Styela clava: one gene and its partner. The protein of the gene in region 1 purifies or fractionates together with the protein of each later gene. This does not show direct contact. Links are inferred from orthologs where the notes say so. Each region holds a gene or a part of one and is shown in the gene's direction. Other genes may lie near its edges.

What was found.
Region 2: the proteins of ribosome biogenesis protein wdr12-like (region 1) and ribosome biogenesis protein bop1-like purify together in Homo sapiens (affinity purification with western blotting; 6 studies listed by BioGRID and IntAct, with this or other methods). This does not show direct contact. The link is inferred for Styela clava from reciprocal best matches to the Homo sapiens genes WDR12 and BOP1.

What each region holds. Positions count from the first base shown.
Region 1 is NC_135261.1:8,152,713-8,163,432, reverse strand, and holds ribosome biogenesis protein wdr12-like, read left to right. Parts: upstream 1-6,686; 5' UTR 6,687-6,701; coding exon 6,702-6,716; intron 6,717-8,427; coding exon 8,428-9,756; 3' UTR 9,757-9,776; downstream 9,777-10,720.
Region 2 is NC_135260.1:8,269,143-8,280,213, reverse strand, and holds the start of ribosome biogenesis protein bop1-like, read left to right. Parts: upstream 1-6,427; 5' UTR 6,428-6,684; coding exon 6,685-6,732; intron 6,733-6,994; coding exon 6,995-7,058; intron 7,059-7,530; coding exon 7,531-7,703; intron 7,704-8,251; coding exon 8,252-8,406; intron 8,407-8,644; coding exon 8,645-8,762; intron 8,763-9,274; coding exon 9,275-9,376; intron 9,377-9,717; coding exon 9,718-9,834; intron 9,835-10,138; coding exon 10,139-10,252; intron 10,253-10,667; coding exon 10,668-10,829; intron 10,830-11,071. UniProt on the Homo sapiens protein: Component of the PeBoW complex, which is required for maturation of 28S and 5.8S ribosomal RNAs and formation of the 60S ribosome.

The sequences.
Region 1 (10,720 bases):
GAGGGGAAGCCGATAACTTGGCATATTTATATTATTATAAAATAGTTTTGTTTGTCGCAGTTAGGGATACGAGAGTGTGTAAACAAGTGGAAGTATAGTGGTAAGGTGCTTTGGTGCCGGAGACGTCGTGTGAAGAGGGAAGAGCCTAAGGACCCAACCTGACGGTTAAAGGTAAAAAATAATAAAATTTAATTGGCGATTGAAAATAATCGACAAAATAAATAAATGTGGAAGTAAATAGTATTGCTAGTTAGACAAAATATGTACATAAAGAAACTAGTATATTAGAAAATTTTAGTCCATCATTGAAAACATGAATGCAGTAAACACTTTACGGTATCGATACCCAAGCAAACAGTATATGGAAAAGACATAAATTTAGTAAGTTGCAATATCATTAAAATTATGAAATTGGTGAGTATACTGGCACTTGACAAAGACATAAAGGATAGCTAAGTATTTGTACACAATCTGAGACCAAAATTATGGATCATGGGTGAAGTGACCCACCGGTATAGACTACCGGTATGGTTTGGATCCAAGATAACCCGTCTGAGCCTGATGTTGGCAAGATAAATAGTTTGGTTATTGTATGAGTGGCACATGGCTGTGCACTGACACGGTGGGGGAAATAACAAGTTCAATATTTACAGAGTCTCTATCTATTTCAGTTACTGTGGATTTTGGGGAAGTCAAGTGTTGAGCTGACAATGACAAGGGGTGGAGGGTGTCAGCACATCAAACAGATGTGGTGACCCGAGACAGGTAAGATGAAAGCATGACCTTCTTATATTTTATTTTAAAAGAGACATATGTGCTTTCACGTAAACTTTGTGGAATACTATTCCATATTATGACACCTTTGTATTTCAGGGAATTTTGAGATTTGCTCAGTGAAAAGCGAGGTACGAAAAAATTGGACTTGGTTGAAGAGCGAGTGTTGTGTTCATGCACAGAGGTAAGCGAAACAAAATAATTGTCGAAAGCTGTGGGCAAGTGGTTGTTTTGAAATTGGTGCATAACTTTGGAGATCTCTAGAGTGTGAATGTCAGATAGTTTTAACACCCTTGTTTTATGGTATAGGGTGTTTAGGTTTGTACGAATAGATGCTCTAGAGAGGGTTCTAACAGCTTTATTCTGTAAGATCTCCAATTTATGAATGTTAGTTTGCGCTGCTGAGCCCCAAGCGGTTATGGCATATTGTATGTGGGATTGAAAGAGAGCAAAGTAGACAGTTCGCAGGGTGGCATCCTGGACATAATGTCTGAGTTTTCCCAATATCCCAACCGATCTCGACAATTTCTTATGTAATTCGATAGTATGGGTGTTCCATTTTAAATTATTATCTATATGGAGCCCGAGATATATATAGGATTGGACGACTTCCAAGGCAACCCCCCTGATTTTGATTAGAATGTTGGCATGTGTTGTTAGCGATTTTCGGCTGAAAACCATGACTTTAGATTTTTCGACATTTACAGTAAGTTTGTTGCATAACATCCACTCATATATTTTATTTATTTCTGAGTTTACAGTGTGTTGGAGTGTGGTCAAGTCTTTTCCACTAGCAAGCAGGCAGGCATCATCGGCGAAGAGCTTGGTTAGAAGATTAGAGCAGTTCGACAAGTCATTTACAGAGAGTAAAAAAGCCAAAGGCCCGATAATTGAACCCTGGACAATTCCGCACTGAATGGGCAACATTGGGGACTTATGAGAACCTAATTCAACAAATTGAAAACGACCACTCAGGTAATTAGCTAGTAGTTTGCTTACATTACCTCTGAAACCATAATGTTGCAACTTTTGAATAAGAATTTTGTGGTCCACCGTGTCAAAGGCTTTCTTTAGATCAAGGAAAGCACAGCAGACAAACTCACATTTATCTATTTTGTCATAAATATATGATGTTAAGTCTAGGATGGCATGGCTAGTAGAGTGGTCGGGTTGGAATCCGAATTGGCATTTATTGATCAAGTTGAATTTGGTACAAAAAATTAGCATTCTCTTGTATATTAACTTTTCCAGAATAAGACCAATTGAAGATAGAATGGAAATTGGCCGATAATTAGAGGGATTATTTTTGTTGCCGCTTTTGAAGATTGGTATAACCCTGGCAATCTTTAATGAGGAGGGGAAAATACCATAATTGAATGATAAATTAAAAAAGTGACTCAGTTCTGGAGAAATAATATCTGCAACTATTTTTAAGAAAAACGGGGAAATACCATCATGTCCAACTGCTTTGCCCTTTTTCAGGTTCAATATTATTTGGTGAACCTCGGAAGGTGTCGTTTGCTCCAGAAAAAAAGAGTGCTGTGAGGGAGCACTCAAGAAAGCTTTGAAAGATTTCTTGCTATGTGGAATATTGTCAGCAAGTTTCTTTCCTACAGATGAAAAGAATTTATTGAATTCGGCGGATATTCTGGCGGGGTCGGAAACTGTGGCACCATTTTCAAGCTCCAATTCAGAGACGATGGATTCATTTTTGGACCTAACTTTAATAATGTCATTGATAGTTTTCCAAGTGTGCTTCACATCCCCTCTGTTGTTTTCAAGGATATTATGGTAATACATTTGTTTTGATTTTCTCTGCAAGTGCGTCAAAATGTTCTTGTATTTTTTGAAGTGGAGACGCTGGGATGAGTTTCCCTTTAAGAATTTTTTTCTAAACATATTGTTTTTATGTTTGATGGACTTACGAATTCCTTTAGTAATCCACGGTTTAGAGTAAAGTTTATTTTCTCTACGCGAAAATGGTCTTAATGGAGCATGTTTATTAATCAACCATTTGAAGTGACTAAGAAAAAGATCGAATGAGCTATTGAAGTTTTCCTCATGTATGCTAATACTAGTATAATTGTTACAGATCGACTCAACCTCCAATCTGAACAGGTCAACACAAAATTTAGTCATGTCACGTTTCATGCGAGTGTTTGTCTTTATATTGCCAGTAGTTGCTGATATTGTGCACATTACGGGAAAGTGGTCAGTGAGATCACTGAGCAAAATAAATGATGAATTGCAGAAATTTACGGTATTGGTGTAAATATGGTCTATAAGGGTGTGAGAGGTCGAGGTAACTCTGGTTGGTTTGGTAATGAGCGGGCATATAAAATTAGTCATGAGCATGTCTAAATACTTGGTAGTGAGATTGTTATGAGAATCAAGAAGATTTAAATTGAAATCACCTAATATTATAAATTGCTTTTTAGCCATTGTCAGCTTCTCGAATAGACAGGACATTGCTGTGGTGAACGCTGGAATATTATTTTTGGGATGCCTATATATTACACCAACAACAAGATTTTGAATTTTTGAGGTTGGTTGGAAGTTCTTTAATTCAATCCAAATGTCTTCGCAGTTAGGAAATTCTAAGCCGAGTTTAGAGCATGCATGATAATTTAAATTGCTATCAATATAAAAACCAACACCGCCTGCTCGAGTTGGGGATGGAGCATGTATGAAGGTGTACCCAGGGATATTAACATTCGCAACACTGTCACTTATGATCCTGGTCTCGCTTAAGGCGATGATTTGAGGTGGAGTACAAAAATTGGAAATCAATTCAACTAAATTATCAGAATATTTAGGTAATGATCTAATATTAAGGTGCAAAATGATGAACTCTGAAGGTAGAAAACTTGACGTTACCCTGTTGATATCAGATATTTCAAGATATTGACTTGGGGTAGAAGAAATTTCAGGGTGAAAGTTGATAGATTCCCAGTTTGGGTTGGGATCACTGTTTAGGTCATAGATAGGTGATGATAATGGATACAATTTTAAAGAACATGTAATAGATTGTGATCAAATAGGCTAGTGCGATGGGGGGAATGTCATAGCTTGAAATTTTCCAAAAGATACTGAAGGTTCTTAAATAGGTCATAAGGGGAATTAATAATTTACTTAAGTATAGCAGTGGAAAAATCATTGGACTTATCTTATTTTATCCAGATCGTCTTCATCAGTTATGGACAGAGTGTTCGTGTCTTTGTTCTTTTTAATCAATATCTTGCCATTTGATGTCCACAGAAAGGCGTAACCACATCGCTTCTTGAGGACCTTCGCTTGGTAAAATAAGTTTTTATTTCTTTCGGTTAGGTTTTCAACCACGAACACCTTTGACAAGTCTCTTATAGATGTTGTATTGTTAGAGGTTTTGATCAAGTTTCGATTTTTGAGTATCTTGGCTCGGATTTTGCGGTTTGTGAATTTCGCTACAATTGGTTTATGGATGTTGGTATTCCTTGTTGGACAGCGGTGTGTTACGGAGATGTCTGAAGGCTTTATGTCTACATGGATAATTTTTCCGATTTGTGTTACTAGTTCATCAGTATCTTCATTTTCGGTTGATGGAATGCCATGAAATTCTAGGTTATCCATCCTAGATCGACGTTCATGTTCTTCTATTTTTTCTGTGACATAAAATAACTCATCTTCAAGATCGTAAACTAACTCTTCGAGATCTCGTATTTTTTTGCTATAAAGAGTAAGTTTCTCATCTGTAACTTTTTGCTTTGCAATAACTTCGTCATATTTCTCAGATTGGAAGCTTTGTGATTCTCTGATAGAAGCAAGGTCTTGTTTAATTTCTTTCAGAGATATCATCTGTTCCTCCATGCATTCTTTTAGACCTGGACTCATTGGTAGGTATTCTGATGAAAAGTTTGCAGAGCTGAAGTTTTCTGTTAAGCATTTGGCAATTAGGGATGGTAACTGGTTCATGATGTTTGTTTGTATTGCCTCCTGTAGGTTTATCTGGAAGTTAGAGTGTTCCTTCTGTTGTTGCAATACAGATCCAATTGGTGAAAGGCCTGGATCGGGAAGACTTCTACTCAGGCGTTGCTTAGGCTTTGGTTTGGTGGTATTATTGATCGAAGCCATGTTGTTGTGGATGTTTGAGATATACGCTGGAATTGATGTTAAAATAGGCAGCGAAGAATCAAGTTAGACTATTCTGCTAGTTTAGGTTAGATTTAAAACCTTAATTATACAGCGAATAATCAATGCCTCGTAGATGTTGCCTTTCTTCTCTGGCCAGCTTTAAACTTCATCAAGAGAGTAGTACAGCACTCTTGAACAGACTCAAGACTTCAATATTTGAGTTGGTGCAGGGGGAGAATCAAGTTAGACTATTCTGCTAGTTTAGGTTAGATTTAAAACCTTAATTATACAGCGAATAATCAATGCCTCGTAGATGTTGCCTTTCTTCTCTGGCCAGCTTTAAACTTCATCAAGAGAGTAGTACAGCACTCTTGAACAGACTCAAGACTTCAATATTTGAGTTGGTGCAGGGGGATACCGCCCGTGCAAAATAAAACCAGGTTTGGTTACTGAAAGCTAATTCTAAGCAGGTTAGAATATATAGAGACCGATTCGACCATTTCAACAGACCAGGCCGGCGCTAAATAAACTTCGTCAAATTAGATATAAAAATTGCTTGTCGCTGGGTTTCCAAATAGGTGTTTAAGACGCCGTATAGTTATTAGTTTGTAGATAGGAATAAGAATGAGGAGTAATTATCAATCCCACTTTCAACAGCGATGATTTTGCCATTTTCTTGTCCTTGTACAATTTGAGTTAGTCATTTTTTTTAAATTGCGGTGGGGTTGGGATGAGATATTTACACAGAGCTGGATACAGGTAAATCTGACATTTTCTATTTCATTGAAATATCCAGCTCTTGTTTATTCGAACCCACGCAAGATAATTAGAGTGGTGGCGAGCGTATTTCTAACGCTTAGCGCGATGCATCATACCGTGGAGCCGAGTTTTTAGTTTAGATTAAACACTAAATTATACTTTTGTTAAATTTTCAGTAGTTTCTACTTTTTTGTTGTCAAATTATACTATGTTGAGATACAAAAGAGCAATGCACAAATATATGGACATGAAGTAGTACGGTTATGCCATCTGTTACAAACAACGACTAACATACCGGTTACAAAAGACTACAAGTACCGGGGTCTTCAACGAATTCGCTTTGCTGTTATACGAACGCGGAACCGCCACAAGATGGGAATTTTTAATTTTGATGAATTCATCGCACACAAAAACAAATCATAAATTTCATACAATTTTTGGAAATAAATAAACGCAATAGCCTTCTAGCGAAAAATACAAACTCAGCATTGATCGAATCCCATGGAGCCCACAAAAAGTTTCGAAATAAATAAAAGTAATAACCTTTTAGCGAAAAATACAAACTTTGGTGCTCCTGTCGCATACTGCAGAAGTACCCAATCTTTAACCAATGAATATTCCAAAACAAATGATATAACAACAAAACGATTCATGACCATAGGTCCATTTCGTGTCCAAGAACAAAACAATCCACAGTTCTATTTTGTATCCAAAAACGTCCATTAGAAGCATGCTCGACTCCATACACCACTGTATTTTAGTTTTCATTGTCCGTCACTTTGAAGTTAATCGAACTACTACAACTAGCACGTGTGCAGACTTTCGTAAGGCGTAGGCAGGCAAAATGGTTTATTCCATGTTTTGTAGGAAAAGCACTATTTTAATTTAAAAGGTAGAAGTTTATTGCATTCAATTATTTACTTCAATTGTTCAATTGCTTCAATTGCTGTTTTTGTTAAATTGCTTTCAAAGTACTGCCCGATTGCAAATCGCGTTTTTCTGTGTTTGTTTTCATCTTTTTTGGTGGGCGGGCACGTACATTGTACGCTTTTTAAGTTATGCCAGTCTCTCAGGTATCTCTGCATTTTGTTTTGTCTGTTTACTTTTTGTATTGTTTATGTCAGAGAACCAAAATAAATGACCGGGTACCGGTACCGTACCGGTACATTACCTGCATACCAATTACGGTACCGGTAGTATTTTGGGGTCTAGTATAGTTTAGTACCACAAGTACTTCCGGTGGGCGTAGCATAACGAATTTTGCATATGCTATTCCTAACCCCCACCTGACTATGCCATCCAAAAATTACGTCACTACGGCGTCACCATCACGTCATAGAGATTGCCAAAGTATAATTACGATCGCCCGAAATGACATCTGCGCCGCCGATAACGAACTTGCTAAAGCCGGCGATCTCTCTCCTATAGTGATTGTTGTGGCGAGAAAACGAGAGAAATTGCTTGCTCGATTTCGGGTGATCGTCTGCGCGTTTTAAACGACCATCCACATACTTCTGTACTTTGGTGCCAGACTGGATTTCATGGCAGATGCACGCCCGAGGGCGCTAGCGCTCCACAAAAATGCACGCGAGCGAATTCAATTTTGCACGCCGAAAATTTGCAATTGCTCACCAATGTAAATCGGTTTAAATAGTTTTTAAATCAATAATCTAGTAATATAAAGATGCCAAAAAATTATAACTTTACAATTGTCGACTAATACTTTCTTGCAAGATTTGGCCTGATCGAAAAATGCGAAGCAAAAATCACCATATCGTGTTGAATGATAGGAATCCCGTGAGAAAAATCGCCTCCTCACCGACGCTGGGCAGTTATGGCTCTGATTCAGCGCATTTTTAATACAATAATTTTACACGGATGTACTGAACAGTACCGGTATCTAAAGTCGCACAAACACTCTCAAAATTAGTGACAAAATATAGAAATGATGTTTTGGGGTCAAAGGTCAAACGTCCATTTTTGCTATGATCCAACTTATTTTTACGCGGATGTATTGAGAGGCATCTTAGTTCGAAATCAGTTTAGCGGGCGCAGTTGTTTTGCACGCCAGAAATTCTTATTTGCACGCGGGAATTTCTGATTGCACGCCCGATTTCTCGTTCGAAAAGGCCCTGAAATCCAGACTGGCTTCGGAGGGCCTTATTACGCCACTGTGACGTCGAAATGACGTAATTTTTCGGTGACGTAGTCAGTTGGGGGTTAGGATTGACATATGCAAAAATTGTTGAGCCAGGTCAACTAGAAGTACATGTTGTACTAAACTATACCAGACCCCAAAAATCTTTACAAGTTAGTTATGGTATGAAACTACACGAGACCCATTATTTTGGGTTTGGTTGCCTTCATCCGATTATATGTAATACATACAGACATAGGCCAATGTTGAATAATTCATGTTTCTTATTATATTCTAATGCAAAGGATGAAGCGTTGTAATTAACTATGTTAACATCACATTTTCATGATCACAGGTACAAGCCTCTTGTCCACCATTTATCCCGGCTGCCTGGGGTGTATTAATTTGCTTGGCAATGCTGAACCAGAAATAAAACAATATGTCTTGCATATCCAGATATCAATGTATCTATAGAGCGTTTGGGGTGGACGCATGAAATCACTGTATAAAAAACAATATTTTTTATGATGTGATTCACATTTTTTCTGCATATTCAGTGAATGAACGAACGTAAATCGTGTGTCAAAGAGCCTCATTCACATGTACTCTTTATGTAATAATGTGTTAATAATATTTTGTTTTAAAAGATACCTAACAATATGGCGGATCATATTCAAGCTAAGCTTGTAACTCAGGATGAGAAATATAAGATTGCAGATACCATGTTTGAACTGCCGGGAGAAGTAACTGTTACAGAATTAACAAATCTCGTAAATAAAGTTTTGAAGGAAGGAGTCAAAGATGCGATAGATGATGAAAATGAATATCAAAATATGGAATTTGATTTTCTTGTGAATGGAGAGTTTTTGAGAATTCCACTTAACCAATACATCGAGAATAAAGGTATATCGACAGAAAAGGTTGTGGAAATTGAATACATTTTGAAACAAGAAAGTCCGAAACCAGAAGATCAATTTACACAGGATGATTGGATTAGCAGTGTACAAAGTACAAAAGAATTCATTTTGACAGGATCGTATGATTGCACTGTATCAATTTGGAATATGGATAGTTCAAAACCTTGTATATATGGTTTCGGTCATACAGAACCTGTAAAGGCAGTATCATGGGTAAATCGTGTCAATAATGATAAGACTGCTTATTTGATAAGCTCATCCCAGGACCAAAGTGCCATTTTATGGCAATGGGAAAAAGGTGAAGAAACTATAAAACCTTTATTTTGCTGCCGGGGGCATTCTAAAAGTGTTGATTGCGTGTCAGTTCATCCTGAAATGGAAGCCTTTGCTACCGGTTCGTGGGACAGTTCAATAAAATTATGGTCGACATCTCCTGTTCCACAAGATGACTCAAATGAGCCAGAAGATTTTCGAAAAGCAAGAAACAAGAAAAAACGTCAGCGTATAGAGCAGCGTGGTGTTACTAGAGTTCCAAAATCGACATTAGCAGGTCACCGAGAAGCAGTGTCATCACTTGTATGGTTATCATCTTCCGATTTATGCAGTGTGTCTTGGGATCATACAATCAATGTTTGGGACATAAATGAGGGTAAAGAAAAATTAAACTTGCGTGGAGCAAAAGTATTCTTAGCATGTGACTACTCTTTTCATAGTAATCTACTTGCGACCGGAAGTTCGGATCGGCATATCAGAATTTGGGATCCACGAGGAAAAGATGAAATATTCTCTAAAGGATCTTTAATTAAATGTAATCTAACTTCACATACTGGATGGATCACCTGTGTAAAGTGGTCACCCAGTAATCAATATCAACTAGTGTCTGGATCTCTCGATTATACAGTTAAATTATGGGATATACGAAGTCCGCAAACTCCACTTTTTGATGTGAATGCACACCAAGATAAAGTTATGTGTTTGGATTGGAGTAATGATGACATTATATTCAGTGGAGGTGCAGATAAAAATTTGTACAAGTTTCGATACAATTCTGTATCATGAAAATAAATACAGATTTTTAATCTGAGTATTCTCTTAATAATAGGAATAAGATTTGAGCCTATGAATTCACATTCTAAGTCTGACTGAATGTCTGCAATGTTTTAAACATCAATTTCTATCCTTTGATGATTTGGCTCACTTTAGCAAGAGAATGGATTCTAAATATTATGAGACGAAATGTAATCAATACCAGCTTCCTAACGCTTAGCACGATGCGCAACACTGCCGAGTCACTTTCCATGTGAAACAAATGTTCACCAAGAATAGTTCACGCTTATCAACTTCTCTTTGGATCATTGTTAAAAAGAAATTTACATCATATATTTAAACCATCTTCCGATAATATGTGACTTCAAAAATATTCTACCTATTTGTGTCCATGCCTCCGAAAACAAATAACTACTGTAACTTATCCCATACCCGACATGAAATGGTAACCGGACGAGAGGCCGTGGTTCGCCATATGGTTAAGCCGGCTTACCGACTTTCCTCTGCCCTGGGATAAATACTTGATAAATTCTAAATAGGGGCGCGGCTCAAAAAATTTGACAACCACTGCTATAGAGAGTCTTCATAGGCAAGGATGGAGCCAGTCCAAAATTTTGGAGGTGTGTCAATTTGTTTTTCAATACGACGCTTATTCATGCATTTCAAGCAACGGTGCACAACCTGCGGCCGTCGTGAAAAAATAGTGCGGCCGTACACCTACAAAATCCTATAAACAAAATAAAAGTTCAGAATAGAGGATTTGGCGGTTATGCTTTGCAAACTTGTATAGAACAAGAGAGCTACGCCCAAATATATGGACACGTCTGTTCGCAGTACGGTTTACCGTGCCGTCAGTCTACAAATATATTCACACCAAGCGAAGCAGTACAGACTAGTAGGACACAAAATGGCGTCCGATGCCCGCAGAACGTTTAATGACGTCATAGCAAACAAAAACAGATCTCTCAGAGCTAAC
Region 2 (11,071 bases), on another chromosome or scaffold:
CTAGCGGGGTCGGGGGCACAGCGCCGGACGAATTTCCGCCATTCGTCCGGCGCAACGACCCGGGTCCTCCAACAAACTTCAAACAAACATCTGCTTCTTAATTTACTAAAAATATTTCCATACATTTCCCCTCGCGGGTAGCGTAGCGACCTTCCCCTGGATGGTTAGGCAACCCGAAAGCACTGAAAGTGCGTATGCACAGTATAGAATCAAATTTCGTTGCACGAAAGTCAATAGCTAAAGCTAACTACTCTAAGCGACCGTGAATCACTATTATCTGAAGAACCACAGGGCCGATCCGGACGAAACTTTGCATGTAGCGGGGTCTAGTTACCAAACAAACACAGAAAATTTTTGGGAGCGATCGGGCCAGAGGAAGTGTGCCAAAACGGGATTTTAGTGTCCCGGAGCTGCTGATTGGTCAATCGGCTGTCCGTCAAGTCACGCGAGAGTGAGTTTGGGGTTTAGAGGCCGTTTAGCTCCGTTTCCGGGGTCGGAAAGCGTTTGCCCGAGTATTGGGAATTTTTCCAAGTATATTTGGGGGTGGGGGCAGTGCCACCGCCCCCCCACTGGTGAGAAAACGTGTGGAAAGCCACGCCCACTTAGGTAATATCGTTTTGGGGCTATTAGGAGCACTTGGAATTGGTTTTTGGGCAAAGTGATGCTCAAATCTCAAAGGGACCAATATATAGAATATTTCACCACCTCAACTTTGGGACATCCCCCTCCCAATCGCCCTCCAGTGGCGTAAGAAGGTTGCGCACCTAAAAACGAAGCTATCAGAGAAATAAAATAGATAGGTATGTTGGGAAAATTTAGTTTAATGCTTTTTTCAAGAAATTTTTTTTCTCTCACTCCCCAGTCATGGTCTAGTGATTTTGGCCTATTGCAGGCCTCTGAAAGGACCTGTTGAGAAAGTAAAGGCACGGGCATGTTTAAAAAAATTATTTGAATCTATTTTGAAAGAAATTTTATTTCTCCATCTCCTCAGTCACGCTCCAGTGATTTTACGTTATATCTGGAGAATGGTAGAAGGTAGAGGTGCCATATTTGGGTCATACAAGGTAGTTGAGGTCTAGTTTATGTCAAAAAAAATTCGTCACGGTTGAGTGATCACGGACCTTATAATTGGAAAAATTCGACTCCGGTTAGTGGTGATCAGTTTATTACAGGGTATTTGAACTTCTTAATGGACTAGCGGGGTCGGGGGGCACAGCGCCGGACGAATTTCCGTCATTCGTCCGGCGCAACGACCCGGGTCCTCCAACAAACTTCAAACAAACAAATGCTTCTTAATTTACTAAAAATATTTCCATACATTTCCCCTCGCGGGTAGCGTAGCGACCTTCCCCTGGATGCTATTCCGCCCACGTCAGTGCATATGGCAACGATAGTTGCAACAGAAATCGAAAGCCGGCGGCCAAGTGTATGATATGTGGGTAATATAGGCGACGGCTCTAGTAGTGAGTGTTTTCGGAGAACCGCAAATGGTAGAGACACGCCCGAGGTGTCAAAAGATGGGGGACGGGGGGAAACTAACAAAGAAAATTTTTCGGAACGATCGGGCCAGGGCAAGTGGGCCAAAACTGGCTTTTAGTGGCCCAAAGCTGCTGATTGGTCAATGGGCTGTCAGTCAAGTCACGCAAGAGTGATTTTGGGGTTTAGAAGCCGTTTGGCTGCGTTTCCGGGCCGGGAAACGGTTCGCCCGGGCATTGGGAATTTTTCCAAACATGTTTGGGGGTGGGGGAAGTGCCCCCGCCCCCCCAGTGGTGAGAAAACGTGTGGAAAGCCACGCCCACTTGGGTAATATGGTTTTTGGACGATTAGGAGTCTTTGGAATCGGTTTTGGGGCAAAGTGATGCATATTTATGGAAGGGACTAATTAATAGAATATATTACCACCTCAACTTTGGGGATTCCCCTTCCCCGTAACGGTCCAGTGAGTTCGGAATGTTGCGCTTAAGATTTGAGATATTGAGGAAAAAAAATACATAGGTAGGTTGAGAAAGTTTAGTTTAATACTTTTTTCAAGAAATTTTTTTGCTCCCGTGCCTCTGTCACGGTCTAGTGATTTTGGTCTTTTGCCGGCTTCTGAGAGGTCATATCAAGAATCTAAAGGCATGGGCGTGATCAGAAAAATTATTCCAATCACGTATCAGCAAAATTTTTTTTCTATTAGCCTTCAGTCACGGTCCAGTGATTTTAGGCCATATCTCGAGAACGGTAATAGATAGGGGTCTCGTATTTGGGGTATACGAGGTAGTTGGAGTAAAGTTTATGCCTATAGAATTTCGTCACGGTCGAGTGATCACTGACCTCAAAATTGATAAAAATATACTCCAGTCCGTACCGTTGAAACCCTTTATGTTAGGGGGGGCCGATGGCGTCGGTCGGATCATGCCGCGATCCGTCCGACGCAACAGATTGCGGCTCGAGCGTCGTAGACAAAACCGGCCTGAGCCCAACCAACCATTTGTGCGCCCGCGGCCCCCCTCGTCGTGTGCCGCAGGCAGACGTTTATTCTGGATGCTATTCCGCCCACGTCAGTGCATATGGCAACGATAGTTGCAACAGAAATCGAAAGCCGGCGGCCAAGTGTATGATATGTGGGTAATATAGGCGACGGCTCTAGTAGTGAGTGTTTTCGGAGAACCGCAAATGGTAGAGACACGCCCGAGGTGTCAAAAGATGGGGGACGGGGGGAAACTAACAAAGAAAATTTTTCGGAACGATCGGGCCAGGGCAAGTGGGCCAAAACTGGCTTTTAGTGGCCCAAAGCTGCTGATTGGTCAATGGGCTGTCAGTCAAGTCACGCAAGAGTGATTTTGGGGTTTAGAAGCCGTTTGGCTGCGTTTCCGGGCCGGGAAACAGTTCGCCCGGGCATTGGGAATTTTTCCAAACATGTTTGGGGGTGGGGGAAGTGCCCCCGCCCCCCCAGTGGTGAGAAAACTTGTGGAAAGCCACGCCCACTTGGGTAATATGGTTTTTGGACGATTAGGAGTCTTTGGAATCGGTTTTGGGGCAAAGTGATGCATATTTATGGAAGGGACTAATTAATAGAATATATTACCACCTCAACTTTGGGGATTCCCCTTCCCCGTAACGGTCCAGTGAGTTCGGAATGTTGCGCTTAAGATTTGAGATATTGAGGAAAAAAAATACATAGGTAGGTTGAGAAAGTTTAGTTTAATACTTTTTCCAAGAAATTTTTTTGCTCCCGTGCCTCCGTCACGGTCTAGTGATTTTGGCCTTTTGCCGGCTTCTGAGAGGTCATATCAAGAATCTAAAGGCATGGGCGTGATCAGAAAAATTATTCCAATCACGTATCAGCAAAATTTTTTTTCTATTAGCCTTCAGTCACGGTCCAGTGATTTTAGGCCATATCTCGAGAACGGTAATAGATAGGGGTCTCGTATTTGGGGTATACGAGGTAGTTGGAGTAAAGTTTATGCCTATAAAATTTCGTCATGGTCGAGTGATCACGGACCTTAAAATTGATAAAAATATACTCCAGTCCGTACCGTTGAAACCCTTTATGTTAGGGGGGGCCGATGGCGTCGGTCGGATCATGCCGCGATCCGTCCGACGCAACGGATGGCGGCCCGAGCGTCGTAGACAAAACCGGCCTGAGCCCAACCAACCATTTGTGCGCCCGCGGCCCCCCTCGTCGTGTGCCGCAGGCAGACGTTTATTCTGGATGGTTAGGCAACCCGAGAGCACTGAAAGTGCGTATGCACAGTATAGAATCAAATTTCGTTGCACGAAAGTCAATAGCTAAAGCTAACTACTCTAAGCGACCGTGAATCACTATTATCTGAAGAACCACAGGGCCGATCCGGACGAAACTTTGCATGTAGCGGGGGCTAGTTACCAAAAGAACACAGAAAATTTTTGGGAGCGATCGGGCCAAAGGAAGTGGGCCAAAACGGGATTTTAGTGGCCCGAAGCTGCTGATTGGTCAATCGGCTGTCCGTCAAGTCACGCGAGAGTGAGTTTGGGGTTTAGAGGCCGTTTAGCTCTGTTTCCGGGGTCGGAGAGCGTTTGCCCGAGTATTGGGAATTTTTCCAAGTATATTTGGGGGTGGGGGCAGTGCCACCGCCCCCCCAATGGTGAGAAAACGTGTGGAAAGCCACGCCCACTTAGGTAATATCGTTTTGGGGCTATTAGGAGCACTTGGAATTGGTTTTTGGGCAAAGTGATGCTCAAATCTCAAAGGGACCAATATATAGAATATTTCACCACCTCAACTTTGGGACTTCCCCCTCCCAATCGCCCTCCAGTGGCGTAAGAAGGTTGCGCACCTAAAAACGAAGATATCGAGAAATAAAATAGATAGGTATGTTGGGAAAATTTAGTTTAATGCTTTTTTCAAGAAATTTTTTTTCTCTCACTCCCCAGTCATGGTCTAGTGATTTTGGCTTATTGCAGGCCTCTGAAAGGACCTGTTGAGAAAGTAAAGGCATGGGCATGTTTAGAAAAATTATTTGAATCTATTTTGAAAGAAATTTTATTTCTCCATCTCCTCAGTCACGCTCCAGTGATTTTACGTTATATCTGGAGAATGGTAGAAGGTAGAGGTGCCATATTCGGGTCATACAAGGTAGTTGAGGGGTAGTTTATGGCAAAAAAAATTCGTCACGGTTGAGTGATCACGGACCTTAAAATTAGAAAAATTCCACTCCGGTTAGGGGTGATCAGTTTATTACAGGGTATTTGAACTTCTTAATGGACTAGAGGGGTCGGGGGCACAGCGCCGGACGAATTTCCGCCATTCGTCCGACGCAACGACCCGGGTCCTCCAACAAACTTCAAACAAACATCTGCTTCTTAATTTACTAAAAATATTTCCATACATTTCCCCTCGCGGGTAGCGTAGCGACCTTCCCCTGGATGGTCAGGCAACAGTGTAGCACTTTAGTGCGTATGCACAGTAATGGTCAAAAGACTTTGCGCGTAGGGCAAAAATAATGTGACGAAGTCTCTTGGCTAAGACCCATCGAGTTACCATTTCCCAGAAAACTGGCGGGCCGATCGGAACGAAACTTGGCATGTAGTAGGGTGCAGTTACCAAAATAGCAAATAAAATTTTTCAGAACGATCGGGCCAAAGGAAGTGGGCCAAAACGGGCTTTTGGTGGCCCAAATTTAAGGTTGCGTGACATTAATTATTTCAAGCTGTCAATCAAGTCTCGCAAGAGTGATTTTGGGGTTTAGAAGTCGTTTAGCTGCGTTTCCGGGGCCAGAAAGCGTTTGCCCGAGTATTGGGATTTTTTCCAAGTGCAATTGGGGGTGGGGGCACTGCCACCGCCCCCCCAGTGGTGAGAAAACGTGTGGAAAGCCACGCCCACTTAGATAATATGGTTTTTGGGCTATTAGGAGCACTTGGAATTGGTTTTGGGGCAAAGTGATGCTTAAACCTCAAAGGGACTAATATATAGAATATTTCACCACCTGAATCTTGGGAATTCCCCCTCCCAATCGCCCTCCAGTGGCGTAAGAAGGTTGCGCACCTAAAAATTGAGCTATCGAGAAATAAAATAGATAGATATGTTGGGAAAATTTAGTTTAATGCTTTTTTCAAGAAATTTTTTTTCTCTCACTCCCCAGTCATGGTCTAGTGATTTTGGCTTATTGCGGGCCTCTGAAAGGACCTGTTGAGAAAGTAAAGGCATGGGCATGTTTAGAAAAATTATTTGAATCTATTTTGAAAGAAATTTTATTTCTCCATCACCTCAGTCACGCCCCAGTGATTTCACGTTATATCTCGAGAATGGTAGAAGGTAGAGGCGCCATATTCGGGTCATGCAAGGTAGTTGAGGTCTAGTTTATGTCAAAAAAATTTCGTAACGGTTGAGTGATCACGGACCTTAAAATTGGAAAAATTCGACTCCGGTAAGGGGTGATCAGTTTATTACAGGGTATTTGAACTTCCTAATGGACTAGAGTGGTCGGGGGCACAGCGCCGGACGAATTTCCGTCATTCGTCCGGCGCAACGACCCGGGTCCTCCAACAAACTTCAAACAAACATATGCTTCTAAATTTACTACAAATATTTCCATACATTTCCCCTCGCGGGTAGCGCAGCGACCTTACCCTGGATTCTTTTTGATGTTTTCCTTTTAAGTTCTTCAAACTTCGTTAATACTTTTTCCCATTTATCTTATCCAGTAAAATATCATTTATAACTACGGATACCAATATAAATCTGCTTATTTTCGCATTCTCTAATACATTTCAGTTTTTGATTTTTGTGCTTTGTCAACTTGATAATTGCTTCTTTCCATATAATGCTTCAGAAATGACCATTAGATATTTTTGCCATGCAATGTCTCCTGTATCAGAATTGCATCGGTGTAACGACGGTGGTTGGAGTCCTGTTTTTTACGAAGGGTTTGTTTTCACGTTTTTGAAGAAAAGCACAAGCATGTCACCATGCGATGCTTTTGCCATATTTTCCCATGCTGACCTACTGACTGACTGATAGTGCCTGATTATTGAAGAGTTTTTTGTCAGCAAGTTTGTAATTGATTGATTTATTTTTCTGTCCAGAGTAGCCTACCGTACGTCTGTCTGTACGTACCATACCGACATACTTTCCTGCTGTCAGGTCAGGGTACCGGTATTGCAGTATTGCATAAACAATTTGATTTGTAGTAATTAAAAAGATCTCACACTTGGATTAGAATGAGGAAGTCAATTGAAAAGCGGAAGCTGGATGACGATAGTAATAAAGTAAGTGACAATTCTGTAAAACTGAAGATTTTATTTCCAGATTTTAAAATATTTAAAATTCCACAAACTTTCAAATATTGGTAACGTCATAAGTTATTACTACTGACATAAACAGCATTGGGACCAGCAGTTACTAAATTACCTGACCTAACCTACTCCAGTACTCCTCTATGCACTAATCCTGTAATCACATATGCAGATATGAGACAATATAAATACTGAAATATTTTTTGACGGTCATATTATTATTCTATTTATTCAGATTCTTGACACTAATATAAAGATAGAGGAGTCCTCTGAAGATGAACTGAGTGAAAATGAGTCAGGTAATTAACATTGTGTTTATGAAATTTATTGATCTTGTTAAATTCCCGAGAACATTTTCATCAATTCATTTCTTAAAATTTTGACTCAATCTGTCACTCTTGGTAACAAAATTTTTTCTAGAAAATTTCATTTTCCAATCCTACCTGCTCAAATAATCATGCTTGAAATTTCAAACCCTGGGAGTCGAAAACATTTACTTTATGAAGATTCAAACATGACGCCATTCCAATTAAAGCACGAACAGAAACATCGGACTAAAATTCCAATAATATGTCTATATTTATTTTGCGAGGTTTTGCTCGCTCTCCAGAATTTTCTCTTTCTATTAGTGTTTATTAATGTATGAATTTTTCAAGATTAACTATCTATCTTATCCGCACTGCTGAATGGATTCATTTTGTCAATATTTACGCTATTGTACGCCAACTCAATTTTTTGGGCTATGCTTTATTCCATTCATTATTTTCCCAGATTTTGATTTATCAAGTGAAGATTCTGGTGTTGATGAAGATTATTTAAAATTGAGTGATGAAAGAAATCAGGATCAAGAGAAAACAGAATCTTCATCAATCATAAAGCGAGTAACACCATCCTCTGACGTTACAGATGCCAATAATGATGATAATGACACATCTGATGAAGAGGTAACATTGTATATAATATAAGAATATCATAGATCTGTTGAATGTGCACTTCAACAAAGTCTGTTGTTGCGAATATCCAACAACAAATAATCTTTGAGTGAATTTGTCTAAAAAAACGACATCAAAAGAAAAATATCATTCAGAAAGGTCTATTGCTAAAATTATTATTATTATTAAAATTATAAAATGAATTTTTTATCACATTTATTTGAAACATTTAATTTAATTTTACATTTATTTGAAACAGAACCATAAAAAAATATAGTCTATAATTAGTTTTACCCAGCTTGTAATAAATTAGATAGGCAATGTCGAACGAGAACGATTCCACACATGTCATTAGATATCAGTTGCTGCTAGTACAAGTATGAAAGACATGAGTAAGCGTCATATGGAAAAGAAAATTTCTCAGAGATAGCCAACAGTTTTCAAATTACTGCCTATTGCTAAATGTGAATATCTCAATTCGAATCACCTGGCGTAGCACCATTTTTCCTCCCATGTTTCCGATGGTGTTTATGTAATATGTATATTTTCTTCATTTACAGGATATTAGGAACACAGTAGGAAATATACCTATGAAATGGTACGAGAATTTCCCACATATCGGTTATGACTTGGATGGGAAACAAATATCTAAACCCATCAGAAATATGGATGAACTGGATAAATTTTTAGACAAAATGGACAATCCTGATTATTGGTAAGATATTGGAATCAAGGATTTATTTTTTTATTTAAGGAATTTTAATAATTTATTGTCTGGTGTTTCTATATTACAGCTGTACCTTGTGTTTTCTACAATTCTTGGTTAAATAAGAGTCTCTAAACTCTTTACTTTAATGATCTGGGCTTTGAAAATATAATATGGGTAATATCTGAACCACCTACTGCTGTCTATAGTATTGGTGCTAATTCTATTTATGATTTCATTTTCTCAGGAAAACTGTTTATGATGAAAACACAGCTCGTGATCATAAATTGACTGAAGATGAATTGCAACTTGTGTCAAGACTTAAGACTGGAAAATTTTATAATTCAACAATCGATCCCTATGAGGTAACATATCAATTTGTTTTAAAAATAAGCGTCAAACTTGAAGACTTAATAAGGGAATAGATACATAAATTATTTTCCCCTAGATTTTGTGAGACATACCTTTAGTGGATTTTGTTGGTAAAGCAGGTATAGACTCAGGTGTACTCCTGTATTTTGTGTACCAGGTCAGGGTTGGGCCATAATCTTATTCCGATTTTTCTCATTTTAGTTCTATTACGAGTTCGTGGACTGTCTGTGTTAGCCAAGTGAATATACCCCCTGCCCATAGGTTTCAGTCCCTTTATACAACTTGATGTAAAGTAAGCGAACAAAATTAGTCACCTCCATTTTGGTACACACACTTCTGGAGCGTCGTTATAGGTATGAAATAAAAAAAGAGTATGGAAGCTCGGGAATAGGAGATATGTATCTCAGTATAATTAGCCTCCCTGGCTTGTTTCTATTGAATGAAGGAAGTTTTTGCTTTTTATTTCAAAGATCTGGATTATAAGGTTTTGTCTTTTGCTATTTAGCCTTATGTCGATTTCTTCACACATGAAAAAATGATTCATCCTATCAACAATGCACCAGCACACAAGAGAAGTTTTACACCATCACATCATGAAAAACTTAAGGTCAGTAGTAAGAATTTTGAGTTGGCGAAATGAAACAGTTTGCTATTTGAATTGTGACCAACAGGTATATGTTTGATGGCTAGAACTGTATTTCAACAAAGTGTTTTTGTTTTAAAATCATTAAATATTCATCTTTCAAAATGATCAAATGGGAATGGGTTAGGCTTTTCAGTTTCCATTCAAATTTTGACCTTGCTCACCAGTATTGGAAGTTCAAAATTTCGAACGAATATTTCCCGAATTCTCCGGGAATATTGAAACACAAATCTGGCCTCGACTCTGATATTAATGTAAACACGTAAAACTACAGATTTAACAGTTTTTGTTGAATACATTTCTAGGTTGGGAAACTTGTGCATGCCATCAAGATGGGTTGGTTAAAACCTAGAAAAGAGAAAAAAGAAGATGAACAACCTGTATTTTTTGATTTGTGGGCAGATAGCAAAGATGAAAACTTGGTGAGCATAAAGAAAATATGAAATTTTTGCTCAATTATCGGTTTCAAATATTTTGAAAAAATTACTATGTAGGCCACTCTGTAAATATTCTAGTCTGCATAGATCGTTTGCCTGTTTACTAATTAAATCCATAAACATGAAACATCCAACTTCTTGGCTATTCCTAAAACTGGTAACTCGTAACGGTATCAGAAGGCATGGTTTGTCATATGATTATGTCTCTCTCTCTCTCTCTCTCTCTTTGTGATTGCAATAATAATTGAATAGTAAAATATTTTATATTTTTTCTTGTATTAAATTCCAGTCACACAGTCAAATTGCTCGTCGTAAGATGCATATTCCTGCACCAAAAGTCAAATTGCCAGGACATGAAGCTTCTTATAATCCTCCACCTGAATATCTAATGTCCGAAGAAGAGGTGACTTTAATTTTTTCTTTTAGCTTATAAATCATCCAGTAAAAGTTTAATAGAAGATTACCCATCGTGGAAAGTACTGTTTTTTTCATTATTTCAACGAAATTTGAAGTTGGGAGTTTAGTACATTTTATGATTTTTTCGAGAATTGTGATATATTAAAATTGTATCGGACCTGTATTCGCAACCAACGTCAATTTTCTAACCCAGTTGTTCTCTACCGGGGTTTCACCGGGGCAGTCATGGAGTTCTACAAGTTTCCATTCAAATTCGAGAATGTTTATATGTATATTGTTCAAATATAATACCTATTAGGTTTTTCCTCTATTATTAAACTTGCTACGCTGATAAAGACACTCTATTTTTAATAGCAATTTACTCGAATTATCCTATTTCAATCAAAAAATACTCTATCTAGAGACTGGCATGGGAACAAGAGGATCCAGAGGATAGGAAAACAAATTTTGTGCCTCAAAAATATGATTGTTTACGGAAAGTTCCTCAGTATCCTAAATTTATTCAAGATGCTTTTGCAAGATGCCTTGATTTATATTTATGTCCAAGACAACGAAAAATGAGAGTAAGTTTGCATTTCTAGTCTTCTGGCTGAAAGGGGGCAGGATTTCATTCTTTATTTGAGAAACTAGAGCACAAATTCCCAAACTTTAAAGTCATAGATTTACTGTCTGTAATACAAACTTTTGGGGAGAAACTTTCACTTTACTGATTAAATTATCAAATTTTCATAATATATGCAAATTTGATCATGCGATGCACAAGTTTGCTTTTGTGTGCAAAAAGTCATACAATGTTACAAGTGGT